Rattus norvegicus: one gene and its partners. The protein of the gene in region 2 purifies or fractionates together with the protein of the main gene of each other region. This does not show direct contact. Links are inferred from orthologs where the notes say so. Each region holds a gene or a part of one and is shown on either strand. Other genes may lie near its edges. The genes, in order: Atp2b4, Bsg, Gnpat, Vdac1 and Sympk.

Region 1 (5,918 bases), on a different chromosome or scaffold from region 2:
CACACACACACACACACGCATGCATACACACACATGCACACCATACACACACACACACACACACACATACACACATAAGCACATACACACAAACACACAATTTTGAAAATAAATCTTAAAAATGAGCTGGCTTTTTCCTTGGCAAAGCTGCCCCCATTTTCCGCACACACACACACACACACACACACACACACACACACACACACACACACACTCCTCTTCTGCAGTACCTACTCTCTGTCTCATACTAGCCCACCTCACAGGAAGCCTCCACTTTCTCTACTCCTGCCAGACCATGCATTTAATCACTGTCATAATACCCATATCGACCGCATGAATCCCGTTTGAAGCGTTCTGTAAAGATCTTATCTGTTGCCTTTCTCCGTGTCTGCAGTTCTTGCCTGTTTCACAAGAAAATTAGGACTTGCTCCCCAAGGGCCCTGCAGGGGGTGCTGTGGCCCTAGCCACCATGGAGACCTTGGCTGGTGGAAGGCCGACGCCTGGTGGCGGGCTGTCCTTTGCTCTGTTTCAGATCTTGATCGTGGAAGTGGGAGGTAAGCCCTTCAGCTGCACAAACCTCACCATGGAGCAGTGGATGTGGTGTCTCTTTATAGGGATCGGAGAACTTTTGTGGGGCCAGGTGAGTGTGGTGTGCCCTCGACAGATCACCAAGGCTGCAGATCTCTCCTCTCTGAATGAGAGGGACAAGTGGCTAGATCCCAGGTCCCTGTTTTACCTGACCCCTCCCTCCCTTCCCCTCCTTCGCAGTTTCAAGCTCCTTCTGTCTTGGGGCGTCAGGTTGGAGTAAACCATTGCCTTCACTTCAGGGACATTAGGTTCTCTGCCCAAACCTAGAGACTGGGGGGGGGGGGGCTTTTTGAAACAAAAGTGGAAATTTTCCATTAAAGGATCTTTAAAAATAAAAATAAAAAAGCAGACGTCACACTGCCGCTGCCTGACCCAGGGCTGCTGTGCTGCTATAGCTCTGAGCTTTCCCGCCTCTCCTTTGCTTCATGGTGGCTGTTTGAAGCCCAGCTCCCACATGAGATAAATCAGTTCTACTAATGCTCCGGGGGGGGGGGGGGAGATCAGCACAGCCTCTGGAAACAGCTGGGCTGGAATTACCCTTCTTCTCACAAACGGAGCAGCCATGGGCAAGTTACTTGTATTTTTTGTTGTTGTTGTTAAGATTTATTTATTTATTATATATGAGTACACTGTAGCTGTCTTCAGACACACCAGAAGAGGGCATCAGATCTCATTACAGATGGTTGTGAGCCACCATGTGGTTGCTGGGAATTGAACTCAGGACCTCTGGGAGAGCAGTCAGTGCTCTTAACCACTGAGCCATCTCTCTCCAGTCCCCCATGAACAAGTAAGTTACTTAACCACTCTGTCTATCGGGGACCTCCACATAGGATAACAAAGTGACCACTAATTGTTGCTAACTAGTAAACTGTTACTATTCCAAAACTATGGCAACACCTGTCATAAGTGCTCTATGAGTGTTAATATTAATTACAACGATGACATCATTGCTTCAAGGTTCATCCTTCCCTAACACCATGCTTAGTCCTGGCCTGGGCTGTTCTCTGCAAATCCCAAGTCTGTACTGAGAACCCCCTAGTGTCCCTTCACAAGCTAAAAATGGGGTTAAGGAAGGGATGAAACTCTTAGGTAATTGTGTTCCAATTCAGTGTTTCAGTCCCTCAGCTATGTGTCCCTCCCCCAGCTTGGTTTGCCCTAGGCCCCACTTCTTCCTGATGTGTGTCTGCTTTGTAGTTCTGTTCTGTTGTCTTAAAAAGACAAGGACCGCAGTGGGAAGGAAGAGCCAAGACAGAGACAGAGTGTGAGGCACGTGTGGCTGGGGAATTACGGGAATCAAGTCCCCTTCTGTGTGTCCACGAATGCTGGTTCCTTCCCAAGTACCATCAACCGGAACAACGGGCTAACCTGGGCAGACTGGTGCTTCTTGGTGCTGTCCAGATGGGAAAGACTTGTGGCTTAGGATCCTCCCAGGGGCCTGGCTCAGGCTTGCTAATGTCTTTTCTTCTCTGATGTGGCTGTTGGCCCCTTTGGCTGTAACTGCTCTCAGGTCATCTCTGCAATACCTACCAAGTCTCTAAAGTTCCTGAAAGAGGCGGGCCATGGCAGTGACAAAGAGGAGATCAGCAAGGACGCTGAGGGGCTGGAAGAGATCGACCATGCCGAGATGGAGCTTCGCCGAGGCCAGATCCTCTGGGTCCGTGGCCTGAACCGGATTCAGACTCAGGTACTCTGTGGTGGCTTGTCCTTACCCTGGGAGAAGAAATCTCCCCATCCTGGGAAAGGGTAGGAGAGCAGTAATTCCTGGCACTTTACACCTTTACCCCTTTGTGACGCTCACTGCTGAAGGGTGACCTGTGTTCCTTAACTTCAGGGCCAACAGGGCCAGAGGTCTCTGGGGGATTCTTCTAGGGGGAAGAGTCAACAGACTGGACCATGGGCCACAATTCACAGAGTTCCTCAGCCGTGGTTAAGCCCTACAGCCCCAACCCCGTACCCCCAGGTTTGTCAGTGGAGCTGTCTTCCCACCTAAGGTCCATTCCAGCACCAGACTTGACCCCAAGATAGGGACCGTGTAGTCCCTTCCCTGCCCTGAAGGAAGATGATTTTCTAAAACTGGAAGGAAAAGCCAGCATCCCTGGCAGTCACTAGGCATGCCCGTCATGCTGCTGTTGTGGGGAGAGCTGTTATTTGGGGAGGTCTTTGTTAAAGAGGCTCCCCTTCTTTCTTTATTCCGCCTTGATGCAAGTCCTCTCTGGGGAATCTGATGATTAAGTAGCTATAAACAGCAGTCTTTCAGTGCCTAATATTTTTGGAAGGATTCAGACTTGTTCCCAATAAGGGAATTTCTGAAACGGAGTACAAGTGAGTACCCTGCTTGCAGCCCTAACCATACCCTCCCCCCGCCCGCCCCCACACTCTCCATGCACCTTCAGGGTGAAGCTGACTGGCCTTGGCAGTAATAACGCTTTTTCTCTGCTCCAACCCCTCAACCTTTTATTGTTTTAGTCCCAAAATCCTGAACAAACCATCAGTCCCGAGATCTTAAGGGGACTCTCCTGAGCAAGGCCTGTTTCTTCCTCCTAGTTGGCAAGAGATCAAAATATTTCATTTTCAAAATTTGGCCTTTGGCTGGCTTAGAAAACCGCCTGGCTAGCCTCCCCCCATTTCCTTCCCCTTCCCCTCTAGTGTACAGGGAAGACAAATGAATTCGCAGTTTAAGCTACTTACCTGGTAGGCACTGTCCTCCTCTGGGGAAGATACCAGGCAGAAAAATGAGCAAGATGCAGTTAGAAACCCTGGGCTCCTTTCCTCACTCTCCTAGGAAGGGAACTGTATCATGGCCTACATATACCACCTCATGATATCAAGTCCCCACCTCCGCTGAGTCCCTTGGGTGCCTGTAAACCTTGACTCCCATCTCTAAAGCCCCTGTTGCTGTCCTTCAGGTCTACTCCTTTCAAAATAACCTCATTTTGCTTTTCTTCCCTTCAGGATCACCCACCTCCTTTTCTACTGTATGACTGCTTTTTTTGTTTTGTTTTTTTGTTTTGTTTTGGTTTTTTGTTTTGTTTTGTTTTGGGGGGAGTGGTGTTTCTGGTTTTGGGTTTTTGTTTGTTTGTTTTTGGTTTTGTGTTTTTGTTTTTGTTTTTTTGTGTTTTTTTTAGCCAGGATCCCTCATTCTAGAGCCTCCTTCTTTCCAGTCTTCCTTCCTTCTGGGGAGCTGAGATTCATGGCCCTTCCTGTTCCTGCACTTCCAGTTAGCAGTCCCTCTCCATACCCCTCTGTTTGATCTCAAGGCACACATACCTTTAGGCATACACGTCCTCCCCTGCTAGAGCATAAGATAGATGGGCCAGATAGACTTTAAAGCCTAAACCTGAGACCAGCCCTGGCGGTACACATCTACGACCTCAGCATTCAGGAGTCTGAGGTGGAAGGATTCCTAGTTCCAGGCCAGCCTGGGCTGTGTAGCTAGATCCTACCTCAAAACCAAACAAACAAAAGCCTAAACTCAGGCTCCAATGGCAGCCTATTAAAGATGCCACTGACAGGATCCATCCATGCCATTGTGACTGGCACCTAACTGAGCAAGTAAGACTGAGCGTACTCACTGCATCTTCCGTGTCCAAAGCCCTCCCACCCCCATCAGTTGTTGGGTCTCAGGAACCCTTCCTGTCTGGCTGCTGGTCCCCAATGCAACCTGTGGGGTGGGAGACATTGTCAAGCTACTGCCCAGTCCTGGCTGGGATTCCCCTTTCCCTGGTTCTAGGCCGTTCCTCCCCTTCACCTTTACCCTTTAGTTAGGGGGGAGGTAAAAGCACTAGAAAGCAAACATTTGAAGAATTAAAGTGCTGGACTCTCAGAACAGTAAACTCGCTTGCTCGGAATGCAGTTTCCTTGTGGAAGGTCAACCCTGTAACATTCTGAAGGCGCTTCTTCCTGGGACTGAAACCCCACCCAACCCCAGGGGCTGCCCTTACCTCCTGCAGCTCCAGCCTGCAGGCCACTGTAGCAGAAAAGTGCCTATGAGGGGAAGCAGTTTAGCTCACACTCTCTCCACCCTAAGCATTTCCTGGCTTCTCCAGAAGCTGTGTACAAGGACAGGCACCTGACTCAGGAGGCACCTGTCTCCTGGGGATGCAGTCACAGGATCTCAACAGATCTCTGAAAGATACAGGAATGCCTTTCTATCTGTTCCTTATTATGTAGGGGTCAAGGAAAAGGGTGGTAAATTGACTAACACCCCAGATCATTGCTACTGTGGGAAAGCGGTGATATGAATTGCCCCCATCCCTAAGAAGGAGCTGAAAGCCAGAGGGCTGCTCTGATAGGCAGGTGGGCGGAGAGCTGCAGCCTCCCAGCACCTCCAGCACCAGTCTGCCAGTGAAGGTCTCCAGTGCTTAAGTAATGCCATGAGTGCAGCTCTGTCTCGTGGACCACCAGAATCCTGAGCTCCACTGCAAGTAGAGGAAGCGTCAAGAAAGACACCTCCTCCACACCAAGGCACACAGGCTAGCAGTCTTCACCAAGGCCAACTCTGTGTGGACTACTACACTGCCCATTCTTCTCTACACACGTCTTTATTTCCTGGAAATTTTGCAAGCAAACAAACAAAAACAACAATTAGTTGACTTATTTGGTTTAGATGCTCCTGAGCCTTAAATTTTACTAACATATACTTTGTTTCTGGTATGTCAAATTGCATGCCTTGTTTTTTAAGAGTACAGGTCAACATAATGAAAAGGCTACCTGTCAGTGGTGGGGAGAAGTTCTTTTGCATTTTAAAGGCCTTTGGACACCTGTGCATCCGAGGCTACAGGGAAAAGAAAACTGAATCCTAGCTAGGCGTTTGGAAACCCATAGCAAATTTCTTTAAATGACGTGTGGTTTGCAATCGCTGCCCTCCCTACCCCACCCTTGCCTGTTGCTCTGGGTTTGAGGGAATATCTCTCTTGCTCTCCTACCCCTCTCCCCGGCCCTCCTGACCCTGCCTTCCCTCTTGCTTCTCTCTGACTGTGGAGCAAAGCTGTCTCACTCTCTGATTCTTTGCAGATTGAAGTAATTAACAAATTCCAGACGGGAGCCTCTTTTAAGGGAGTCCTAAGGCGACAGAACTTGAGTCAACAACTTGATGTAAAACTGGTTCCTAGCTCCTATTCAGAAGCAGTTGCGTCAGTCAGAACCTCCCCCTCCACCTCTTCTGCCGTTACACCTCCTCCTGTGGGCAGTGAGTGAGAGTATATTACAATGCATGATTTACTAAAGCGACCACAAGACAGCACGCGGCATCCACTTTAACCAACCGTGGTTACTTGTCCTTTTTTGGGTACACCCCCCACCCACCCACCCCTTTGACTTAAGGGAAGAAA
Region 2 (6,518 bases):
CTCCCAGCATTCCTCCGTCCCTGCCTGGTACGGGGGGAGGGGGGGCCTGCCCCTCCCCCAGCAGCTCTTTCCAACACCCTAACTCTCTCTCTCCCTCTCTGCACTTTCCTGCTCCATGCACCTTCGTCTTTCTCTTTCCCCTCCCCTCTGCCTCCCTCCTTTGGGACCAGTGAACCCACCTTAGAGCAGCTTCCCAGTAAACCTGCCTTTCTATACTTTAATTTGGCTCGAATTGGCTCATTCTGTGGGTGGAGAATAACATGTGGGTCTGAATGGGTGTTTTGCCCGTATGCCCGTTGGTGCACCACTTGCTTGCCGTGCGGTGCGTGGTAGTCTGAGGAGAGCAGAAGCAGGCATCAGATTCGGAGTTAGAGATGTCTGTAGGCTGCCCTGTGGGTGCTGGAGATAGACCCATCTGTCCTGGAAGAGCAGTCAGTACCCTTAAACAGCTGAACCATCTCTCCAGCCCCCTTCCGTGTGTGTTTTTGGTTGTTTGCTTTTTGACAGGGTCTCCTGTAGCCCAGGGTCCGCCTCGAACTGACTTTTTGCCAAAGGACACTGAGCTACTGGCTTCCAGTCACCAAGTGCTGGAATGACCGGTATGCACCGCCATTCTAGGCTTTCCACATCTTTATCTGCTAATCGGACTGGTCAGGGGACGTCAGGCGGCTGAGATGAAGTAGAGCTAAAGGGCTTCCGAAGGCTGTGGGCCATGTAGGGTCAGGGAAGACTCTAGAAAGCCAGGCCTGGGAGGGGGCGGGGCTTCACTGTGTAAGCACAGGGCAGGGCTTCCAGGCCAACCTGAAATTTCCCAGAGGCCCAAACAGGCAGGGGGTGAGGAATTCCAGCCCGCCCAACCTTGTTTGTTTTGACCCTAAGGGCCTTTGATGCCAGCTGGCCCTTCCCCTGCCCTAACCCTCATTCTGCACGTAGCTCGGAAAAGCCGTTCCATGGAGGCTTTAGGATTCTGGGTAGTTAGTGCTGAGGCCCCCAAGCCTCTGAGAGGCAACTGCTGCTGTGGGTAAGTGGATCACCAGGCTCATAGTGACTTTCTACTCGGTCCTGGCCCCTCTGACACCAAGCTTTGTACTGCTCCTGGACTGGCCTCTCGCTCCTGCCCATGGCTGTGTGTTTTGAGATATTCCCGAAGACCCTGGCATGGTGTGCACCCCCCCAAAGGAACTGCTGACCCTGGAAGCTGCTGCCAAACCCCTGCTTGCTCCCACCTCCCACTTTTATTTTTATTTATTTATTTGGATTTTCGAGACAGGGTTTCTCTGTGTAGCCCTGGCTGTCCTGGAACTCACTATATAAACTAGGCTGGGGGTTGGGGATTTAGCTCAGTGGTAGAGCGCTTGCCTAGCAATCGCAAGGCCCTGGGTTGTTCGGTCCCCAGCTCCGAAAAAAAGAAAAGGAAAACAAAAACAAAAACAAAAACAAAAAAAAACTAGGCTGGCCTCGAACTCACAGAGATCCGCTTGCCTCTGCCTCCCAAATGTGGGGATTAAGGCCTTCGATTTCAGCGACAGAGCCAGAAGCTGGCCTGGTATACAGAGTAAACTCCAAGCCAGCCAAGTCTACACAATGAGCACCTTTCTCAAGCAAACAAAACCCCCAAGTTGTGATACAATACAGGCCACAAAATCAGATTAAAACAACAAAAAGGCAAAAATAAAATTTAAAAATAAGTAAGACAAGCTACAGCTGGGAGACGGCTCAATTCTTTTTTTATATAAGATTTTTATTTATTTTATGTATGTAAGTACACAGCCGCTGTCTTGCTGTCTTCAGACACACCAGGAGAGGGTATCAGATCCCATTACAGATGGCTGTGAGCCACCATGTGGTTGCTGGGAATTGAACTCAGTCAGTGCTCTTTTTTTTTTTTTTCCTTGAGGGGATGGAACCCAGGACCTTGGGCTTCCTAGGCAAGCGCTCTACCACTGAGCCAAATCCCCAACCCCCAGTCAGTGCTCTTAATCACTGAACCATCTCGCCAGCCCAGAAAGATTCCACTACTGGCCCTTACAGAGATCAAACCCACTACCTTGGCGTTACTAGCCCCACACTCTAACCGAGCTAACCGGCCAGACATGGCTCAATTGTTAAAAGTGCCTGCTGCTTTTCCAGAGGACATTTCAGTTCTCAGCACCCACATCAGGCCCATAATACCAGCTCCAGGGGATCAGATGCCCACTTCTGGCCTCTGTGGCACATGCATTCATGTGGTACACACACACTGAGGGACATGCTTACAAATAAATGAATAAATAAATAAATAAATACTTTTTTGAGATAGGGGCTTACCACTTAGCCCAGGCTAGCCTAGAACTGGCTATGCAGACCAAGCTGGCCTCAAAACTCGGATATCTGCCTGCCTCTGCCTCCTGAGTGTTGGTATATAAAAGGCGTGTGCCACCACCAACCTGCTCAAATATAAGTTGTTTTGTTTTTTTTTTAATGAGCAGGAGAGTTGAGCGTCTTAGAGCAGGCATTTATCCCAGCACCCCGGAGGCAGAGGCAAGTGGCTCTTTGAGTTCGAGGCCAGTGTGGTCTACAGAGTAAGTTTCAAGACAGCCAGGGCAGCACAGAGAGGGAGGGAGGGAGCGAGGGAGAGGGTGAGAAAGCGCGAACGAGGGGAGAGCGCGCCCGCGAGCACAGAGGCAGTCCAGGCCGCAGGCCCCGCCCCTTTGAGGGTGTGGTCGTATGATCACGTGCCAACGCTTCCCCACCCGCTCCGCTTCTGTAGTGCGAGCCTGAGCGGCGGACGCTGGATACGTGCCTGCTCGCTGTGCGCCTGGCGCCCCGCCCCGCGACGCCGCGTGCGTACGTGCTGCGTGCGCGCGCCCCACCCTTCTTATAGAGCCGCAGTGGGGCTGCTCTTGGACGAGGCGACATGGCGGCGGCGCTGCTGCTGGCGCTGGCCTTCACGTTCCTGAGTGGCCAAGGCGCCTGCGCGGCGGGTAAGAACGGGGTGCTGGGACCGGGCTGGGGTCACGGACCTAAGGTGAGCCACAGATTTCGGGGACTTGGTGTAGGGAACCACGGCTTTGGTTCCCTACTCGGGCTCGGGGCTGGAGATTTGTGGAGGAGTAACAGTGCCTGTGGATGACCCTCGAATTGACCCCAGACCTCGACTGAGCGACGAGGTGGAGGGGGATGATTTTAGAGATGAGGCCCTGGAGAGACAAATCAAAGACTAGATCTCTGGGGGAGACATCCTAAGGTTATGGGAACTGGAGGTGGAAGGAACCGCCCGCCACCTTGCGGTAGTCCCCACCTGGACATGGCTGGAAGGTAATCTAGAGGACTTGGAGTAGAGAAGTGTGAGTGGAAATGACCCCAGATTTTGGCTAGCTGGAGATGAAAGGAGCCGCTGCCTTAACTGTCCCAACTCCCGGAATAAGGCTGGGAGGTGACCCGGGAGGTTTGGGGATACAATGACTATAATTGGCTTAGGTTTGGGGGAGTTAGGGAAGTGTGGGAGGAGGTGACCCTGAAGCTGGAAGATAGATTCTGGGGCAACATCTCCAAGGTTGAGTAGGGGCGTCCAGGGTCGAAGAGCTATTATCTTGACCATATTGATGTCTCCACCTGGGTAACAGGGCTGGGAAGCAACCCTGGAGATTGAATTCCTCCTGGTGTTGGGGCCTGAGGATAAAAGAAGCCACCATGTTGAGGATTCCTCCACCTGAGAGACAGGGCTGGAAAGTAATCATGGGCAGGAGGGAATTGCAGGATATCTGGGAGAGATTTGTGGGACCTGGGTGGTGGACAGCAGTGTTTCGGGTGGCTTTCTCCAGGTTTGGAGAGATCTGGCAGCCGAGGAAGCTGCCACCTTGGGGAGTTCCCAAATTTGGAAAACCTGGGAGTCGATGGATCTGCAATCTTGGTGTATCCACTCTGGGAACAGGGTGGGAGTCACAGTCCCTAAATTAGGAGGGCATCGAGTTAGAGAGACCTGCCACTTTAGTGTTACCTGGGTTCCTGAAAGGCTGTCTCCAAGGTTTGGGGCTACTAGGGGGACTAGAGTGGGAGGAGCTATCATTTCAGTGTGTCCATGCTTGGGGGACCATGTGGGGAGGTGGTTCAGGAGATTTGGGATACAGAAGTGCCTGGCAGGAGGGCCACAAGTTTGGGAATGTGGGTGGGAGTGAGGTGGCTAGAAATTTGGTGATGTGAGGATGGAGAAAGGATTGGGAGACAACCTTGGGGTGGAGGAAGTTGCCAGTTGCTGACCTCAAGGCTTGGAAGATGTGGTTTGGAAGGGGGATGAGCGGTGAGCCTGTGGGCTTCTTGGGGTATAGAGGTGCCTGGGAGTGATGTGTCCTAGGCTTGGCGGGCTGCCTGGGATCACACATGGAGGGTGGGTGGGGAGTTTCTGAGTGGCAGTTCCCCTCCCTAGGTTTGGAGGAGTCTCAGTCAGATGTCCCCAGCAGTCCCTGCCCTCCTTGGGGTGAGCTTGCAGGCTCTCCATACTCCACAGGGGCTGTATCAGACGACCCTGGCAATGACCCTAGCAAAGGAAGGAGATGGAGGTCCCCTCTGGGCTGGGACCAGAACTTGAGGCTGCGCCCATCTGTTCTAGGACTGGTCAGGGACTTACCTGGGAGTGAGGACTGTGGATTATCGTTCTTGATGGGATTTCCACTGGCCAGGGCCCAGCACATTCAGCTTGCTCCCAGCATGGAGTTTGGCCCATTCTGGCCTTAGGTCCTTGCCTGATTGAGGCTCAAAAGGGCACGGGGCCTAGGTGGGGAAAGGTAGGTATTCAAGGTCATGGCAAGGTTGAGTGTGGAAAGGCGGTGTGGTAGGCCTGGAACACATGGGCTGCTCTCTGCTTGCCCCAGACAGCAGGCCAAGGGCAGAAGCAGAGCTCCACTGGAGAAGTGGGCCACTGACCACTGCCCCATCAGCAGCAGGTACAGGAGGGGGCTGTGCCAGGCAGCAGAGCCTGGGGTCAATCCTGACCCGCCTTTTCTGGACCCTCTTCCTTACCATCAAAGCATCTTGAGGTGCTCCCATGAGGCTGGCTCTTGGGTACAGGTAACTGTCCCCTGGCAAGATGGAAGCAGTTGATTTATTCTGTCCTGGGTAGGAAAACACAGTGGCTTTCTGTCTGGGGTTCAGCGGACCTTTGCACTGCCGGGAGCCAAGCACAGAATGTAGCTTACGGGCAGGTCCTAGCCCTTCCTGGGAACAGAGCCACAGCCTACAGCCTGGGCAGGGCCCAGGTCAAGCTGTAATGTGTCATTTCCCACTGTACAGTGGGGGTGGGGGTTCTGCTCAGAGGTCAACCCTGTGGCATAGACACTTAAGGTTTCCTTGTTGCGTGAGCCTGGAATTTGATGCTGGGTCCCTTACATGCTGGTCTAAGCACTCCACACCCCAGTTTCACATGCTTTCTCTGTGTAAGTGACCAGGTTAGCCTCAGACACTCACTGCAGGGTGTTGCCCCAGCGGTTACCCAGATCTGATTTAACCCTAATTCCTCAGGTGTCTGACATGGTGAGAGAGGTGATAAGGCAGCAGTCTAGGTCAGCACTGGATGGCAGGAGACTAGGTGTGGGCCCGCCCTCCAGAACAGCGCCCCCTCCCCTCCCTGCACCCTGTGGTGCTGACTTGTTTACCCAGTGCCTCAGACTGGCCCTGCTCTCACCTGGCTTGAGTAGGCAGGAAGGAAGGTAACTGAGGCAGGCGACAGGCTGGAAGCTAAAGACCCTGTTGAGGCTTCTAAGGTTGGGATCGCAGTTAATGGTCACCCCTAAGCAGTGCTAGTGAGGCTCTGTGTGGAAAGGTCAGCAGGAGATGCCAGGGCAGCCTGCATTCCTGAGACCAGATCATGGGTGGCCTGGCATGTTAGTCTCGTGGTCCTTGGAACATGACGGTGTTGTCCTAGATGTACGACACCCATGGTGTAGTGTCTCTTCAGAAACCCCACTGGAGTTGGGGCTGCCCTGTACCTGTATTTGCTGACAGCCCTAGATGAAGTGGTGTTGATTCAGACGTCCTGTAGCAGTAGACAGAGAAGGGGACTGAGGGAAGGGCGCTGCTGTGACCTTCTCCTGACAGCCTACCACCAGCCAGGAACTGCAGGTTGGGCAGTCTGGAAGATCTCGAATGTAGGTTACCAGGAAACCATTCTCTACCGAAGCAGCTGTGTCATTCAGACCCCTGAAGCTTTGGGGCAAGTGCTTACCTCAGCCCCCACCCCCAATGCAGGGCCTGAGGCCCTAAACTTAATACTTGTACCTTCAGATAACAACCACGCCTTGTGTAGGCATGCAAAGACCTGCCCTCCCCTGGGACATGTGTTTGGGGCAGGCATACAAGTCTGAGTGTCCCAGGCCCTTATGTAATGCTGAAGGCCCTATTTTAATTTGTCATGTAGCCCATCTGGCTGGAACTCATAGCAATCCTCCTGCATGCATAGGCCTCCTGAGTGGTGGAATTATAGGCGAGCTGCCATGGCGCCCACTGTATTTTCTAGACACACTTAGTGTATGCGTGCGTACATT
Region 3 (5,918 bases), on a different chromosome or scaffold from region 2:
AAAAGCTGCAGTTGGTACCCTTCACACTCTCTTAGTGATTAGTACTCTTGTCATCGCTGCAGCGAGCTCTAAGTGTGTAGAGTTGGAGCAGGGATGGAGCCTATGCACGCACCCATCCCTGCTGCGATCACCGGCACGGGCAGGTCATAGTTGTAGAGGACAAAGGACAGCATGAGGAAGTCGATGTAGCTCCGGTGGCTGGGCAGCAGGATCACGGGGTGCTCCTGGATCGCTCGTTGTAGCTGCAAAACAGAAGTCAGATTTTCAAGAATTTCAGTTGTCATGTCACTAAAATCACAGCTTAATCAGAAAACAGAGAAGTAAATCACAGTGGGAGCTCACGCCTGTCAGTTCAGCATTTGGGACATTTGGGAGATGAAGAATCAGAGTCAGAAATAAGGTCCTCCTTGGTTACATGGGGAGTTTAAGGGCAGATGGGCTAGATACTCTGTCTCTAAATAAATAAGCTAAAGAAAGAAAGACATCTGGGCAGGCAGGGAAGGAGCGCACGAGGATGTGACTGGGCAAGTGAAGAGCTGGCAGCGAGGTCTATTGTTTGTGTCATCACCAAGCTGACCCTGACCACCAAATCCTAAGAGAGTAGGTTACAGGAAAAATCCCACCAGCATAGGAGCTGGACAGTGGAAATGCTGGCTAGGAATCTGCACGAGCAGAGAAAATCCTGCTGGTACTCTGTAACCGGTGAACATGTGACACTAAGTGGTCTGTAAGTCTTACATGACTAAGCTAGAAGTCTGTAGGTCTGACATTAGGAAGGACAAGCCACAGACAACATATCGCCTAGGCCCACAGTGGGGCCTGACAACCCACCCTCAGCACTCAGTCCGAGGGAAACATCCTAGAATGGATTATACCACAGGATAAGCCAAGACCACCAGACCAGCAATCCTCACCTTTTGAATGCCTTCTTCATTCACACACACCTTTGAGAAGATCTGTTTAAAAACTTTGCTCAGAACAAAGGCAAAGAACCGAATGGCTCCTATACGCAGTTTGTGACTCATTTCCTCCAGGATCTCATTGGCCTCTTCTCTGAGCACATCCACACCCGTCAGGGACTCCCTGGAAAGCTGAAAGGAAGGCAGAGCAGGGTGAGTCTGAAACCTAGAAGCCAGAGCTCCTTTCACTCAGAACACTGCGACCAACTCCAGACTGACCTCTGACCTCTGATGGAAGTCCAAGACAGCTCGTGCTCTCCGGGACAAGGCTTGACCCGCTCACTAACAGTAAATGATGCACGGCACTTTTTCCTTTGTTATGGCACACAGGCTGACCCTGAATTCACCGTCCTCCCACCTCAGCCTACCGACTGCTAGGACATAAGGACACAGCACTTATGTTCAGTGAAAAATGATTCAACTTAAGAAGGTTTAAAGGCTAGAAATTCAAAAAGAATCCACGTGGCTCTTGAGAAATGGCAACTAAGGTTGACCGCTGGCACGGATGCACATACACGCATGAGCCAACACACAGAGAACAATGTTGCTGGATCCCTCGTCTACTCCTTATCTGCCCTAAACTTGATCCAGGAAGGAGTACTGGACAGCACCGCTTCTCAGTGCACTCCTCCATTTCCTCAGAGCTTATCTCAAACAGTGACCCCGTAAACAAAGAACCACGTTAACCCAAGCCACCCAAGGAATGGTGAGGAGGAGGGAGGGAAGAAGAGAAGCCACAGCAACTGCAGGGCAGGAACAGCAATGGGGAGATGAAAGTTCAAGGGAAAAGCAACCAACCAATCCACGTCGTCACTCAGGCCTGGAATCCAACATCGGAAGAACCCCAGACCTTGGGACCAACCTGAGCTACAAAATGATTGACTTGTGGAACTTAGGCTCCAGGGGATTATAGCAGCCAGGTGTCACACACTGAGTAGCACTTTTTTTTTTTTCTTTTCTTTTCTTTTTTTTCCGGAGCTGGGGACCGAACCCAGGGCCTTGCACTTGCTAGGCAAGTGCTCTACCACTGAGCTAAATCCCCAACCCCACTGAGTAGCACTTTTGTCAATGACTAACCACATACATTGGTGAGAGCAATTCTGTACGATGACAAGTGTTGAAAACTTGCCATCATAACTGTCATGGACCCCTAGCTCACCTGACTCAAATGTTTGGCAACCTACAAGACCACTAGCCTACAAGGACAGAACCCAGTAATTATCCCAGCATGCAATGCTTCATAATGATAAGCTGCCGTGCTATGGCATGTGTACGTACTGTGCATTAGTCAAGAACACACCTTCTTACACATGGAGGAGAAGGTTACTGCAAGTCCGGGAGGAGTGGAAACTGAGGCCTGAGACCAGCCTGAGCCCCAGGGGGCGCTACAGCCTCTTCTCCTGCACAGGGAAACCAGCACAGTAAAGTCCTGTGCATGCGACTGGAGATGCAGCTCAGTAGTAGGCATCTGCCTACCCTGTGCAGAGCCCTGGACTTCATTCCTAGCACAGCAAAGGAACTGAATCAAAACAAAATAAGCAGTGTGCTGCTTCCCTGGGGGACTCTCAGGGTCAGACGGAATCAGTGTCTTTCTCACTGACTTTAATCTTACGTCTTGTTCACCTTAGATCAAGAAGCAACAGTCCCACCACATGTGTGTAACACCTAGCCTGGACCTTAGCACTCTCTAGCTCCTAGTTTCACGTAAGGATGAGGTGTCTCCCAGAGCCCACCCCATCCCAACACAGCCATGCCTAACTGGAGTTAACTTTCTGCAAACCATGCCTTGGGTACTGTTCCTGATATGAAACGATGAGGAAATTTGTCTCCACTCATGAAGTAGGCCTAAGCACAGCGAACCAACAGCATCTCCATGGTATGGATGTCTGAGCAAAGCACAGGGATTAAAGGCACGGGTCAAGGTCTACATCTAAAGTAAAACCAGAGAAGTGCTCCTGCACCCCATGAGCACGCACACCCCATGTGAGCATCCGAGGGCATGGCACTGCAGACAAAGCCCTTCATCTGGCTTTGCAGCTCCCACTGAGCCCCACTCACCCAGGAGCTCCCTGCATTTTACCACAGTTTCTGTCCTCTGCACTGGTCAAACTGAACCTTTGCAGCATTCTATGTGAACCTTCTCTCTGACCTCCTGTTCTGAAAACAAATGTGGCTCCCAGCTTCTTGAAAAGCTACTGATGCAGGATTTGAATGCAGCTGACACAGGGGTGAGATGTAGGCACAGGCTTCCTCGGGGCGTCTCATAAAGTTTTCAGGTGCAGGTCTGACGTGATCTGTTTAGCTAAAATCTCTCACTACCCCCTCTACTAGGAAAGCCTGGACCTCTGTCAGGTCTGGTTAAACCCAAACCCTCCCTGCTCCCTGCACCAAATCAGCTCTGCTCATAACTAACTGGCACCTTCAAGCTGTGGGGTCTTCAGTGCAAGCTGTGTTTCATCATATGCCATGCATTTGGTGCCACGGTACTTCTCGGCTGGCCTTCCAGCACACATTTGAGTGCCATGTGGCTAACCTAAAAGTACACTTGAGATGATAAGGTAAATTCAGGGAAGCAGCAGACGGACCCACTTACATTGGAGGAGGGTGGCTGTGCCTGAAGAACACTGTTCTTACCTGCTTAATGACATAGTTAATCTCTTCAGAATTGAGAACGATGGACTTGATATCACTTGGCTTGCAGGGAGTAATTCCTCTATACAAGGGTGGTGTGTAGCACTTCATTGCAAATTTGAAATCACTGACCTGTCTCCTCTCCTCCAACAGGTCTTCAAACTCATCCCACTTTTTGAGGTCTTTCTGTGAAGAAGGAAAGGAAGGGTTACTAAGGCTTCACTCTGCCCCACGTGACACCTGAGCGGCAACCACAAGTGTTCTAATACTCGACTCAGACAAGGGAAAACCGGCAACATCACTGTCTACAGTCAGTTCTCCATTATTACTTGTTATTATCAGACAGGGCTTTATGTAGCCTTGCCTAGCCTCGAACTCTCTATGTACCAAAAGAAAACCTTGAACTCTTGATCTTCATCTCCACTTCTTACCTCCCAAGTGCTGGGATTTTACGCCCCCAGGAATGATGGACGGATGGTTTTGTTTTGTGGGACCAGGGACTGAACCTGAGGCCTTTCACATGCTTAACAAGCACCGCACCATTGAGCAGTCGGCCTCCTGACCACCATGTTTCTGACTGCTAGCTCTGTAAACTCATTTGTCCGCCTCTCTTTAGCTTCAAAAAAATAAAGCACACATTAGAGCCCCAAGCTAAATCGGGTGTGCTGGTTCAAGTCTGTCTAGTCCTTGCCCTTCAGAGGCGGGTAAAATCCACCATGGTTCAAGGCCAGCTCAGCCTACACCAGACTGTCTCAAAACAAGGAGTCCACTGCACCTCCCCTGCTCAGCGTTTGTGGGCCCAGCTGTTGCCACCCACCAAACCCTCACTCCACCTTCACGGAGCGAAGGGCCCTCTCACAACAGTGCTTTCCTGACTAAGTAACGGATAGTGGCGGTGATGATGACTATGGTGAGCTCTGCCGGCTGCTAAATGCCCAGTCCACGGTGAGAGCTGACATGGTGAAGAAGAAGCCCCACTGCGAACTGAACAGCTGTCATCCACCCACAGGAATCTCAAGACGGTGGCTACTGCGGGCCCTCAGCTCCCAAAAGCAGAGACAGCTTGGTGGGATGTGTAGCTTCCGACAGATTGCCATGCATGGTTATGGCATCATGTTAACATGAAGTACCTACAGCACTGCAGCCAAAAGTAGCTTCTTTTTTTGTTACTTTTCTCTGACAGCTACAGAAACATGTATGTCTTATTCAAAACACGGGTCATGCCAAGTATAATTTACCTTTCCTCTTTATCTGTATTCCTTTATAGTAAATACTGTTTTAAAACAACTTAGTCATTATATAATTACCACGTTTCATAACATCTTCATTTTGGTTACCAAAATGATTTGGGCTTACTTAAAAGTTCACAAAATGCAGGCAAAGTACAAGCCTAACTCTATGTGTAATCCCCTAATGTGGAGCCTACTCTAAGGAATGCTTGCTCCTAAGCACAGAGACCTACCTGTCTCTCCAGCAGACACACACTGAGTCCATCAACCTGATTCTGTCCTTTACACTCCTTCCGTTACTTCTGCTTCCTGCTTTAATCATTTATTAATTGTAGTGCGGCACGCTCAGGTTGTATTCTATGACTCACAACTGTTCTTAAAGACAACCACACAGGATGCCGTGTGTGCCTCTGCTGCGGCTGGGCCAGCATCTGCTATTCTTCTCTCCCTTCCTTGGTTCTAAAATTTCCTGACTTTGGTATTGAATTCAGTGTTCTCTTATCAACAGCAATAAAAAGTCTAGCTCCTTCCTCCAATTCAATGACGTTTAAACTGGGGAGTTTCCCCTGGGGAGTTTCCTCCTCGAAAGCTTCATCTCTCTGCCTTCCACAAACGTTGGGCACACTCACTTATTTCACTGGATTTTGTTGCTGTTTGGTTTCTTTTGTTTGGCTGATTCTGTGGTGCTACCGGTGAGACCTGGGCTTTGGCTGTAGGCTAGACAAATGCTCCCCCTCTGGGTCACTTCCCTTTCCCCGCCACAGCTGAGAACAGGGACATGCTTCCAAATCCACTGCTGGCCCCTTTCCCACCACACTTCTCCAAAGCCTGCCCACTGTCTGGCTTGGCTCTACAACCTGATTATTCTCATGAAATCAACTATTAACCATCATCTCACCCACACCTTGGGCATCATTCCTCCTGACTCCTTACTGTGGCCTTTAGACTCTAGGGAATCCACTCAGCATCCGCAGGCCCCACCCTCAATGAGGCTACCCACAGCCTGCACTCAGAATCACAAGGGCATCCTTGCTTACATGGTACCCTACCCCATCCTCCTGCCTGCCACCGCACACTTCTCAAAACACAGGCTACTCTT
Region 4 (6,718 bases), on a different chromosome or scaffold from region 2:
TCTAAATAAATTAGGCAAAAAGAAAAAAAAAATCAACCCATTGCTCAGATGGCTGGGTAGCAGCCGAAGCCACATGAGTGTGCACTCCGGCTGCGTAGCTAATCTTTACCCCAGCTTTGGTTCCAGTCTACTTCCACAGCTAGAGAGAGAACTCCAGGGTCTCGGTGACTCCTCCCTAGAGTCAGGGGAAAGAGCAGGACTCTGACACTTGGTACTACCTTTGGCTCAGCTCCATTGAAGCCCGTGCATCGGACAAAAGTGAAATAGGGTTACTTACCCCAAAAGAACTATAGTGAGGATTGGCCCATTCCCTCAAGTCAACGAGACATCTCTGGACTCACACGGAACTGAAGTAGCTCTGGGGAACCCAAACTCAGGAGTGGGGGGGCAATGGGAAATGGGCCCAAAGCCTCTTGCAACTGCACAGTTTTCTGCTTGCTTTTCTGCGCCAACAGAAATGCAAGCCTGCCAGGGGAGCTTGCAGGTTCCGGGACATCACCCTGCTGTTTCCCCAAGGTTTTTGGATTTCCTAATTCAAATCTGTAAGAACCCGACTGGCCAGGCTTGGATCAGGTTTTCTTTTGTCTCAGACCAATCAGCCAATCAGCTTTGGCAGGCACAGTGGAGGGGAGGCCGAGCAGAGTCCAGTTTTAAAAAAAAAAAAAAAGGGTGCCTTGCTTTTACCCCTCCCTAAAGGCTGTGACTGGGAGACTGGGAGGGATCAATGAATAATCTTTCTAGTGTACTTTGATTCCAATTCCAAGAACTCCCAGGTTCCCTCCCTGTTCTAGCTAATTTTCTTTGCCTTTCTTTTGTGGCTACTTCCTTGGATTTAAAATCTTCCCTTCTGGAAGGAAAGAGATTCCTAAAAGTCAGGAAGCTACCTTGCAGGCTCCCAGGTTCAGTCCCCAGTACCAGAAAGTAAAAAACAAAACAAAACAACAACAAAACACACAAAAACCCAAAAAAGCAGGAAGCTCTCGATGATATATATATATATGGCTTCGGAAGTTCAGCTATCAGACTCACGAGGCCCCTCTAAATAGTCAACAGCTAATGGAGAGGGGACTCTTGAACTTGTGCCCAGGTCCAGGGATACACACAGGTTTTGTGCGTTGGGAGCCGTTAGGGTGATCTTTTCAGCTACTTTGATTCACCTTGTAAATAACTTCAACACAATGGTTTGCCAAAGTAGACTTTGGGTAGAATTCTTTAGTCTGTCATCTGTGCTCTCTCTACAGCAAATAGCTGTCTATGTCTCCCCAGGGAACGTGACACAAGCCACTCACTGAGTCTTAGGTAAGAGCCTTACCACTCCGGTACATCTCCAGACCGTTTCATTCTAAACCAACACTGACACTCCCAGGGTGAGGTTCCGAGAAGCCAGATTTTCTGCTCACCCACGGACACACAGTCAAAAATGGCCCACAAGCTCTCTCGGTGATTGTAAACCCTACCCAGGGCAGCTGGGGAGGCCAGAGAAGGCTACTAGAACTCTTCAGGTACCTTAAAGGTACTTGGAGGATCTTGAACATTGGCTGTCTGCCTCACAGCTGGGCATCAGGGCTCAGGGCCAAGTGTAAGATTCTTGGAGACAAATCTTCCTCGTGTCCCCAGGTCTTGTCCTTCCAACTCTGCCTCCCTGTTGTGACTCAGCAGCTTTTGGTGCCTGGTTTTTAACTCTGGGAGTGGATTGGGTGTTTGTTACAGGGTAGGTGTGCAGACTTGAAAAGCTACGTAAAAACTGTGGTTCTTTGTAATGCAAAGCAAGCTCTAGGCCACCGAGCTTTGTGTCTGCCCACATCCTAGCCCGAAGGGCTTACCCTCATAGTCTAGATCTGGGCTTACGCCCGTTCCCCCAGCCCCCATCAGTTTCCTTCGTTCAGCCCACGGAACAGCATTTTAAATCTGGAGTGGCCGCCAGTGTCCCAGCTGTCTTATTCAGCACAGCAGGTTGTGAGCAACCACCTGACGTCTCCTCTTCTGGACCCCAAATGCCTTGATTCTCTTAGGACGTCTGTCAATTGAAGGCAAAGGGTGTGAAGTCTTCACTCACATGCGATTTCACAAATTCTCCAAGCCTGATTTGGGTTTGGCTTGGTGTGGCACACTGGGAGCCTCAGCAGGGAAGGAGGCCATGCGCTGATGAGACCAGGCTGGGAGAAAGTGACCGTCCGCTCTACACTGCAGGAGAGCAGACATCCAGAACCCGCGTGACCTCCTCATGTAGTGAGACTCCGCAGTCTCACGAAACTCACTTTGTCTTTTCTAATTTCTCAAATGCTTGGGAAATGGCGGAAAGCTGCTTCGACACCAGGGAAAATTGCACGCAAATGTGCAGTGCGGAGCCGGCCCTCGGGAGAGTTTAATTTGCAATTCACTCGCTGACGCACGCGGGCGTGTCGCAGGCTCCGGAAACCCAGTGTAGCGAGGTTGGAGCGCAGAGGACAGTAGCCGCTTTGCCCAATGCAGCGCCACCTTCGGAGCCCAGTGTGTCCCCACTGGGCCTCGGAGTGACTCGCGGCCTCGAGGCTGCGCAGGAGCCACAAGACTCCGGGCGACCCTATTCGCTGAGGTCCTTAGGCCACTGCTCACTGTGCCGGAAACTCCCCTCCCCCTCTTCTCAAATGCTTCCAGCAGCCTGGTGGCTCCAACAGTGACCCGCGTGTCCCCGCGCACGCACACACCTCACGCACGTCAGACCCACGCCTCCCTATCGCCCCGTGCCAAAGTGCACGCAGGCTTTTACGCGCGGTCGCACATGATCACAGAGCCGCAGATGGTGCGAACGCTGCTCCCGGGTGGGAAGAAGACCCCGGGACTGGTCTGGGCGCTGTCCGGGGTGGAGCCGAGGGCGGAGCTTGGAGTCCGGGCGCGCAGAGCTGGGGCGTGTCCGCGCCGTCGCGATCTGCGCCGCCCCGCCCTCGGCCCGTTCCCTGCGCTCCCAGCCTCCTCGCCGCAACCCCCGCCGTAGCTGCCGCTGCTCTCGCCGTCACCGCCTCCGAGGTAGGCGCAGCGGAGAGGGCCCGGGCTATGCCTGGGTCCCCAGGGCCTCGGGCCGCGCTCCTGGGGAGTCTCTAGGGAGGCGATCGAGGGAGGATCGGGCGAGGGCGCCGGGCCTAGGAGCTTAGCCCCGGGAAGGGTGAACCAGGGACGATCATCGCGGGCCTGGAGAGGCAGCGGGCTTGTAGAGGAGGCCTGGAGGGCAGGCGTAGAGCGGATCTCCGGAGGGAGAGATCCTAGCTCGATCTTTCAGAGCGCCTGCATTTGGAAGCGAGGGGCTATCCGAACATGCGAGGGGCGGAAGGGCAAGGGCGGCCGCGTGGAGGCCGGGCGGGCCGCGGGTCTAGGTGACCTTTCCCGGCGGCGCCCTCTGGCTCTAGATCCGGTCGGCATGGATCTGGTAGAGACCCTCCCACGGCCCAAGCCCTTCCCCGCCAGCTCCGAGGGCCTGTGCAGACCCAGCTTCCTTCGCCGAGAGGACGCGCTCCAGGCATGGCCATGCCCTGGATCCCCTGGCCCCTACATGCCTTAACCGGCCCACGCCCGGAGTAGGTGGCGCCGGGTCCCTCCCGTGCATGCTAGTGCCTTCCCGGGCGGAACGGGCTGCCCTGAGTGGACTTAGGCCGCAGGAACAGGGACCTGGGCCTGGACTGAAAGCGAGACCCCATAGGGAGCCATATGCCTGGCCTCCTTGGCCTTAGGGACGGATTCCGTGTTCTGTGTCGCCAAATGCAACTGTGCATTCTGGAAACTGTTTTCAGGGCCTGACATCAGATTGGAGGCCTGCAATTCTACATGGTTTGTCCAAGGTCACACTGGTAGGAAGATCTCAAACTTCAATCTTCTCATCTGCGAAATAGGAGCAATTATATACACTTCACTGAGTTTGGGGGAAGAATAAAATGATCCGATTAATACGAAGCCTTGGGTCATGCACAAGGACACCTTAGAAACCTTGACACTTACCCTAGGAGTCGTAGGAGCTTTGGGGAGGGTTGAACTCAACCTCTGCAGACCTTCCCCCCCCCCCTTTTTTTTGGTTCCACACGGTGTACTGGAAGGGATTCCCTAAATCTACAGTCGTGTTATTTTAACGCCATTGTTACCGTGTCTGTAACAAGCATTTGGGCAGCACCAGGTACTGAATAACTGGAGAATAATTCACCAAACACTGTCTGTTTTCAGACTGACAGCCGTTAAGCTGGAACACTAAATCTGACTGCAGACCCAGAAGATCCAAGGCTCCTCTTTCCTTGACCAGACAGATGAGTGAGGGGCTTTACTCAGTCTTGTTTAATAGTAAGCCAGGCATAGCTACTGAAGGCCTGCCTGTTTTTCTCCAGACTGACAAAACTCTAGGGCCAACTCAGGCTTACCTTTAGGGTCTTGGGTGGGACCACTTGGCACACATTAGGTGGCTAAGAAAGGTCTGTGGGGTAAATTCACTTAAAAAAATGTCTACTTAATGTGTGTGGGTTTTTTTTGCCTTTGTGAGTTTATATATATATATGCAGGTGAACTCAGCCCAGAAGAGGGTGTTGGCTCCTCTGAACTGGAGTTATAGGCAGTTGTGAGCTGTCGCACGTGGGTCTGGGAATTAACTACCAGGTATGGTGGGTGCACATTAAATCGTGGGATCTTAAACACCCATTTGATGACGTAGACCGCTCACTGACTTCTGGAAGCTCTCCTGGCCTAGCAGAGTCAGATATTATAAGAGCTACGACAGTACACGCTCATCTACAGCAGGAATCACGAGGGACGAGAAGCAGCTCCTTTGACATTCTACAACATCCCGAGTCCTCAGGGAACTTGTCAGACTGGTGTTTCTGGGCTTGAAGCTAGAGTGATATGGGTGAATGGGATTCGAGCCAAGGCCTTGGGCCTGTTGTGCTCTCCCCTTTCTGACAAGGTTGTGTGGGTATGACAGCTAGAGTAAGGTGCCTGGCCCCAGTGGTAGTCGAGGGTGCTCACAGGTGATTTGTTTTAGTTCTGATTTCCAGAATGAGGCTTTTTAGACAGGGGTTGTTTGGGACCATGTGGTCCTCATGCTGAAGCTGAGGCAGGTGGAGACTCTGGACTCTTGAGCTGGTGGTAGTAAGGGCTTGCCCCCCCACCCTCCCACCCCCTCATCACTTTGCTCTCTGAGGACCTTTGCTGTTGCTGGAAATCCCCACAGTATGACAGACACCTTCAGTGGTAGTGACTGAGGGAAACATGTGGCCAAAGTGAGGAGGGTAGCCCCTAGGATTCCAGAAAGGTTGTTGTACTGTGTGTGGGGCTTTGTGCTTTCCCCAGGTTCCTGTGGTAGATGGATGGTCTCCATCCCACTGTTAAGTCACAGCATGTGAGCACTTTACTTAGAGCTGAGCTAGAAAAAGTTCCAGAAGGGCAGCCTGGGCTCTCAGTGCTGATCTGACTGACAAGAGCCACAGAGGCTAGCTCAGATGAAGTAGCTTTCTTGTGTCTTAGTTTCTCTGTTATACCGTGGTGGGGTTTTGTTTTAAAGAATTAAATGTTTGGAGGTGGATAGCTCATGTGGAGGTCAGAGGGCAACTTCTGGGCCTCCACCCAGGCCTTGGGATCACCTGGGTCTGCTGTAGAAAGGTGACTGTCATCGCTGGCCATCCTGGTGTTCTGTAGCCCTGCTGGGTGTACTTGGCGCTTAGGCACAAGTTCTCTGCTAGTATCCCCCACACTTCACTGCTGCTGCTTTGAGGAACCCATAGGTGTGAGTGCCCCTGTAAAGCAGAAGTTACTGACTGGTTGGGAATGGAGAGAGGTACACTGCTGCAGGCCGTCTGTAGGGGCAGTGCTTGCAGGAATCGTTTTCCCTGGGGCGAGATGGGAGGTGTTCTTCCAGGACCTGGCCAGATAGTATCTAACTAAACAATACCTCTTTATGGGTGGGGAGGACTCTGGACCCTGTGGTTCAGATTGAGCCTTTAACAAGATGCTCAGAAACCATTATTATAATAGTAAATATACAAAAGGAGAGCTTGGTTTGCTCCCTAGCCATATGGCAACAGAAACTGTCTATTGGACTGGCTCATATGGGACTTAGAATGCAAGCCCAGCATGCAGGAAGCCCTGGGTTTGACCTTCAACACCGGGGAAACTCAGTGTGATGGGGTGTACACTCAGAGGTGGAGGCAGGAGGATCAAATTCAAAGTTATCCTCGGTGACATAGTGAGCTTGAGACTCACTATGGGCTACATTAGATCCTGTTTCAAAACAAAAACAAACCAGCCGTGGTGCATACCTTTAATCCTGGCACTTGGGGGCAGTGGCAGAGGGGGTGGTGGTGGGTAGAGGCAGACAGAGCTCTGTGAGTTTGAGGCCAGCCTGGTTTACAGAGTTTCAGAACAGCCAGGGCTACACAGAGGAACCCTGTCTCGAAAAACCAACCAACCAAAGAAACCAAACCCATTATTTATCCGTCTGCTCATCTCAATCGATAAGTCGAGCTGTCATCTGTCATCTTAACAACTCTACTTACGTTTGTTTCATGCCTTCCGCGTGTACCAGCCACAGTATTCAGTGCTGTGTGCCGAGGGAAAATGGGGTTAGAGAGAGTGACTTGGGGTCTTTTACCTAGAAAGGGAGTAGGACAGAGGTGCTTGATTCCCAAGGCTGAGCACTTGAAGTGCTGACTGTGTCAACCCCCTGTGCCTTGTGATGGCTCTTGAGGTGCCTGTGGCTTTGCTGGAGCCC
Region 5 (4,824 bases), on a different chromosome or scaffold from region 2:
AATAGCCAGAGATGTACATGGGTTTCTCATCCCTGGCCCTTGTGGCCACCTAGAGACGTAGTAGCAGGATGACGTGGCTCCATGGCACATCGGGTCTCCCCTCCGCTAACAGGAGGCCACCTCTGCTAAGTGCATCCTTTTCTACTCTGTCCCAACACAGCATGGAGTTCAGGCCACTTTGTTGTTCAGTGAGCCGGGCCCTGTCCTAACCCAACCCAGCCTGTAGCTGCCATGATCATGTGCTGTGTGGAGTCAGTCCTAGGCCAGCTGGTCCCTGCCTGCATCCTGGGTGTACAGCCCCGTGCACAGAGGGGACAGTGGCGCCACAGCAAGGCAGCTCTAAAAGGTGGTGAAGACTTGAGGCCACTTTGCCCAGTATACTGTCCCCCAGGCCAAGAAGCAGAGAAGGCCTCACTTGTATTTGCCCAAGGCTGGTCTTTGGCCCAGTTCTTTGCTGAGGTCCTGTCCTGTCTCCTTCTCTTGTCGGCACCATTGCAGGTGAGGGGAACTCTGCCCTGTCCCCCCTGAATCCGGGAGAGCTGCTGATTGCATTGCACAATATTGACTCTGTAAAGTGTGACATGAAGTCCATCATCAAAGGTGAGGCACCCCTGTTTCCACAGGACCCAGCTCCCACAGACAGGCCGGGCTTGTCACCCACATGGCTCTACTGCATCAAAGACTGGCCTGATGCCTGACCTGTCCCATCCTGATCGCCACACAAAGCACATAGACACATGTGCCCCGGCATCAGGTGGTCCTCGGGAGTGCAGGCTGCCCCTCTTTTCACCTACCCTGAGGAACTCAAGGAAGCAAGGAGGAACAGGGCTTCTGCAGACATGAGCAAGCGCAGGCCCAAGCTGAGGCAGCAGAGGATTCCATAGTGGGGCTTGGTGATGTACTGGCAGGCTTCCTCTGCCCAAGCATTGCCTGTGAGCTAGGCTTTCCCTTCATGCTACAAGCCCACTCCTGCCACCCACATCTGGTAAGTATGCTCAGATAGGGCATGGAGTTCCCAAAAGCTAAATCAGTTGTCAGGGTCACACAGTCTGAGCCAAACTGGAGCCAAACCAAGAAGGGCTCTGCTCATGAACCTCTCCTGGGAAGAAATCACCATCTTCCCTCCTTTCTTCCCTCCCTTAGAGACTGGGCCATCCAGAATCAGTTCTGTCCCCAGAAGGGCCCTGCCTGTTATCCTACCATTTAACCTGTCTGCTCACTTTAGCGTGGCTTCCTCTCTGTCCCCACCTGAAGTGCTTCTTCAGGGGTTGCTTTCCTAGCCTCCCTTAGCAGCCTCACAGAACAGGGCTGGGAAGGCAAGGCAGAGGGGGCTGCAGGGGAAGGGAGGAGGGGTGTAGTGGACTGCAGGCGCGCGTGCACACACACACACACACACACACACACACACACACACACACACACACACACACACATTTTCACCACGCTGGGAATGAACATAGAACAGCCTCCCATGTGCTAGGTAAGTGCTCTGTCTCCATCCACACACTTGCTTCTTGATCCTTAAATGCAGTGTGAGTAACTGACCCCATAGCAGCCTATTCCCAAGGGCAGTTTGCGCACAATTTGAAGGGATTTGGAAAGACACAGCCATCTTGGACCTAGAATAGAAATCTAGTCACAGAGAGGGAAGAAAAGGCCCTGCCAAAAGCTACCCAGGTGCACACTCCGGTAGCTTCTTTGGGAATTCTTGTCAGTTCACAATCCCCAGGCTTCCTAGGCCCTAGCACTCCACAGCTCTCACCACATCTCCTCCGTCTGCCCCATCAGGTGAAATCCTGGCCTTCTTGGATCCCAGCACAATGCTGGGGACACACTGGGACACTGACAGTTGACCCAGCCTGGCCAGGGCTCAGGAAGGGCTTTGTGAAGTGGGGTTACCTCCAGCAAGCAGATGCAATAGACGAGGTGATAGCTGAGCCTGTCAGATCTAGGGCTGAGCAGAGGGTTCCAAGTGAGGGAGGAAACTGGCCTTGGCCTCATGCAGCCTCTGGGCGGAGGACAGGCTGGCCTTTCGGAGACTCTTGGGCTGCTGGAGGGAAAGGCGAGAGGTTGAGTGGGAAGCACAGGCTGGGTAGACAGACCGGTGTCGGGCCCATTTGGACCGCAGTGGACATTTCTCCACAGCAGCGGGCGCCCCCTCAGGCTCTGGCAGGCCTCTCTCCTCTGCCCTTCAGCCCTGTGTCTGCTGCAAGGTCCCTCCTTTCTCTTTAGGCCTCCTCTTTACAGGATCATCCTTCCCTCCATTGGCTTCTCAGGGATTGGGAGGGCAGGCGGGCTTTCTTCTGGCTCAATAAAGACTTCCTGGTTGACACACTCACATGGCCAGTGGTGTTTGGGGAAGGACTTCAGAGGCAGCTCCCGGGACCATACCTCAACCCAGTTGACCTTGACACTACCCCTGCCACTCACTCCCAGGAGCTAGACCCCAAGCAAGACCTGCTCCATGCTTTCTTCAGTGTGACATCTTTCCACAACCTGTGAGGACCTGGCTTGGGTTGGGCCCTCCCCCCACCTCTTATCCCTCCCTTGCCTGTTACCCTTGTAGCGTCCCTCATGGTACTTGCTTTACACCATCACAGACCCTAATGACTGGTCAGCCGTCTGGCAGAGACCCACCTCTATTCTGAGGGTTCTAGAGGTGTTGGCAGCACTCCCTCCCTCGCCTTAGTGGGTTACAGCCACTCATAGGCCCCAGGGTGCAGCAGCATACTCTGCCCTATTCCCAGGGCTTGTCCCCAGAAGAGGCCGTGTCCTCCAGATTGGTCCACCAGGGGTTGGACACACCTACCTCCGCCTTCTAGGGCAGGGTCATTAAGCATCCTCATAAAGGGCCCTGTGTGGTAGAGGTAGAGAAGCTTGGGGAGTGGGGTTCCCACTTAATGAGGGACATCCAGGCAGAGAGAGGACAGGCCACTCTCCGCCTCCTCACAGCCACCAACCTGTGTTTTGCGGAGCGGAATGTGTACACATCGGAAGTGCTGGCTGTGGTGATGCAGCAGCTGATGGAGCAAAGCCCTCTGCCCATGCTGCTCATGCGGACCGTCATCCAGTCCCTGACCATGTACCCCCGCCTGGGGGGCTTCGTCATGAACATCCTGGCCCGGCTCATCATGAAGCAGGTAACCTGCCCTGGCCCCAGGCACTCAGCCACTCAGCCACAAGGGGACAAACCTCAGATGCCTGGAAGGCAGGATCTATCCCTGGACCGCCTGTCCTGCTAGCAGTGTTCCCTCACCACTCCCTGCAGCTGGCTACAGGGTGACCATTGAGAGCAGTTAGGGATATGAGAGGTGTGGGTACCTCCCTTTACCCTACTCTAGGCACTGCAGGGCACACAGCTCAGCTCAAAGCTTCCCATCTTGGAGGAGACTAGAATTAGGTTGGGTTGTTTTGCTATGTAGCCCAGAGTAACCATAACTCAAATTTGTGATGATCCTCTTGCCTGAGCCCTCCAAGTGCTGGGATTGCGAGCATGCCGCACCAACTCTTAGAAATACCGTGGAAATGGTAATTAAATCCATCCTCCATACCAGGCTGGGGTCGGACCACAGGCTGTCCCTGTGCAGCATCTGGCAAAGGTCCCGTGCCTCCAGCCTATTAAGTGTGGCCGATGGCACCTGCCAGAGGTGGTTATGAAAACAACACGAAGTGGTGCTGTCCTAACCTAGGGACTGGAGGCAGGGTCTCCTTCCTTCCCTGTGTCTTGTCCTGATAGTTTACTGGGTAGGCAGGTGTGTGAAGCCTGGAGTAAGGTGTCATATGACAGCATATGGGTCCTGGTCATGGCAGTGTCTTCAGGAAGGTGGTGGCTGGTTGGGCCTGTGCCTAATGGCCCCCTCCTGCCCCACAGGTATGGAAGTACCCCAAGGTATGGGAGGGCTTCATCAAGTGCTGCCAGCGCACCAAGCCCCAGAGTTTCCAGGTCATCCTGCAGCTACCTCCACAGCAGCTTGGCGCAGTCTTTGACAAGTGCCCTGAGCTCCGGGAGCCACTGTTGGCCCATGTGCGCTCCTTCACCCCCCACCAGGTACCTGGGTGGGAGAGTGGAGCCAAGTGAGCAGAAGGGCTCTGGAAGGTTTGGTTCTGGGTACTGGGTTGCTGAGAGGTGCCTCTGGCAAGAGCGCTCTACAGCCCTGGCTCCCACCTTTCCCTTCACCTAGCAAGCACACATCCCCAACTCCATCATGACAATCCTGGAGGCCAGTGGCAAGCAGGAGCCGGAAGTCAAGGAAGCACCTTCAGGGTCCCTGGAAGAGGTGAGGGCAATGTGGCCTGTGCGTCTCGCCCCAGAAGGCCTGGTCATTAAACCCACAGTCTCCCAGGATTTCTTCCCTGGTAAAGGAGCATGGCCACCCACCCCACACCCTCTGTACCAGGATGGAAAGTCTGTGCGGTGTGCTCTCTCCTCTGCTTTCAGCAGCGTTCAGTGCTCAGCTTCCTCCACCCTAATGCGCGGTAGCGGTGAGGTGGGGTGTGATGTTAGGTTTGATGTACCCTTCCTGAGCTGAGTGCCTCTCCCACCCCAGGATGACCTGGAGCCCTTGGCTCTGGCCTTGGCCCCGGCTTTGGCCCCGGCCCCTGCCCCACGGCCCCCTCAGGACCTCATCGGCCTTCGATTGGCTCAGGAGAAGGCCTTGAAGCGGCAGCTCGAAGAAGAACAGAAGCAGAAGCCCACAGGCGTCGGAGCGCCCACTTCCTCAGTGTCCTCGACACCCTTGGTGGGGCCAGCAGCCCGAGCTGGTCCCACCCCGGCTGAGGAGGTTATGGAATACCGGGAGGAAGGTCCTGAATGCGAGACCCCGG

Evidence for each region.
Region 1: the proteins of Bsg (region 2) and Atp2b4 purify together in Homo sapiens (affinity purification with mass spectrometry; 3 studies listed by BioGRID and IntAct, counting the BioPlex papers as one, with this or other methods). This does not show direct contact. The link is inferred for Rattus norvegicus from reciprocal best matches to the Homo sapiens genes BSG and ATP2B4.
Region 3: the proteins of Bsg (region 2) and Gnpat purify together in Homo sapiens (affinity purification with mass spectrometry; 3 studies listed by BioGRID and IntAct, counting the BioPlex papers as one, with this or other methods). This does not show direct contact. The link is inferred for Rattus norvegicus from reciprocal best matches to the Homo sapiens genes BSG and GNPAT.
Region 4: the proteins of Bsg (region 2) and Vdac1 purify together in Homo sapiens (affinity purification with mass spectrometry; 3 studies listed by BioGRID, with this or other methods). This does not show direct contact. The link is inferred for Rattus norvegicus from reciprocal best matches to the Homo sapiens genes BSG and VDAC1.
Region 5: the proteins of Bsg (region 2) and Sympk purify together in Homo sapiens (co-immunoprecipitation; 3 studies listed by BioGRID and IntAct, counting the BioPlex papers as one, with this or other methods). This does not show direct contact. The link is inferred for Rattus norvegicus from reciprocal best matches to the Homo sapiens genes BSG and SYMPK.

Annotation. Positions count from the first base shown.
Region 1 is NC_086031.1:47,716,229-47,722,146, reverse strand, and holds part of Atp2b4 (plasma membrane calcium-transporting ATPase 4), read left to right. Parts: intron 1-532; coding exon 533-640; intron 641-2,095; coding exon 2,096-2,272; intron 2,273-5,601; coding exon 5,602-5,776; intron 5,777-5,918. UniProt on the Homo sapiens protein: Calcium/calmodulin-regulated and magnesium-dependent enzyme that catalyzes the hydrolysis of ATP coupled with the transport of calcium out of the cell. By regulating sperm cell calcium homeostasis, may play a role in sperm motility.
Region 2 is NC_086025.1:10,647,293-10,653,810, reverse strand, and holds the start of Bsg (basigin isoform 1 precursor), read left to right. Parts: upstream 1-2,805; 5' UTR 2,806-2,896; coding exon 2,897-2,963; exon of another isoform or gene 2,964-3,651; intron 3,652-4,606; exon of another isoform or gene 4,607-6,518.
Region 3 is NC_086037.1:69,725,110-69,731,027, reverse strand, and holds part of Gnpat (dihydroxyacetone phosphate acyltransferase), read right to left. Parts: intron 3,777-5,918; coding exon 3,594-3,776; intron 3,327-3,593; exon of another isoform or gene 2,428-3,326; coding exon of another isoform or gene 2,260-2,427; intron 1,092-2,259; coding exon 915-1,091; intron 243-914; coding exon 113-242; intron 1-112. UniProt on the Homo sapiens protein: Dihydroxyacetonephosphate acyltransferase catalyzing the first step in the biosynthesis of plasmalogens, a subset of phospholipids that differ from other glycerolipids by having an alkyl chain attached through a vinyl ether linkage at the sn-1 position of the glycerol backbone, and which unique physical properties have an impact on various aspects of cell signaling and membrane biology.
Region 4 is NC_086028.1:37,030,266-37,036,983, forward strand, and holds the start of Vdac1 (voltage-dependent anion-selective channel protein 1), read left to right. Parts: upstream 1-2,943; 5' UTR 2,944-3,006; intron 3,007-6,561; exon of another isoform or gene 6,562-6,718. UniProt on the Homo sapiens protein: Non-selective voltage-gated ion channel that mediates the transport of anions and cations through the mitochondrion outer membrane and plasma membrane.
Region 5 is NC_086019.1:87,823,501-87,828,324, forward strand, and holds part of Sympk (symplekin), read left to right. Parts: intron 1-498; coding exon 499-600; intron 601-2,952; coding exon 2,953-3,140; intron 3,141-3,871; coding exon 3,872-4,048; intron 4,049-4,181; coding exon 4,182-4,277; intron 4,278-4,547; coding exon 4,548-4,824. UniProt on the Homo sapiens protein: Scaffold protein that functions as a component of a multimolecular complex involved in histone mRNA 3'-end processing. Specific component of the tight junction (TJ) plaque, but might not be an exclusively junctional component. May have a house-keeping rule.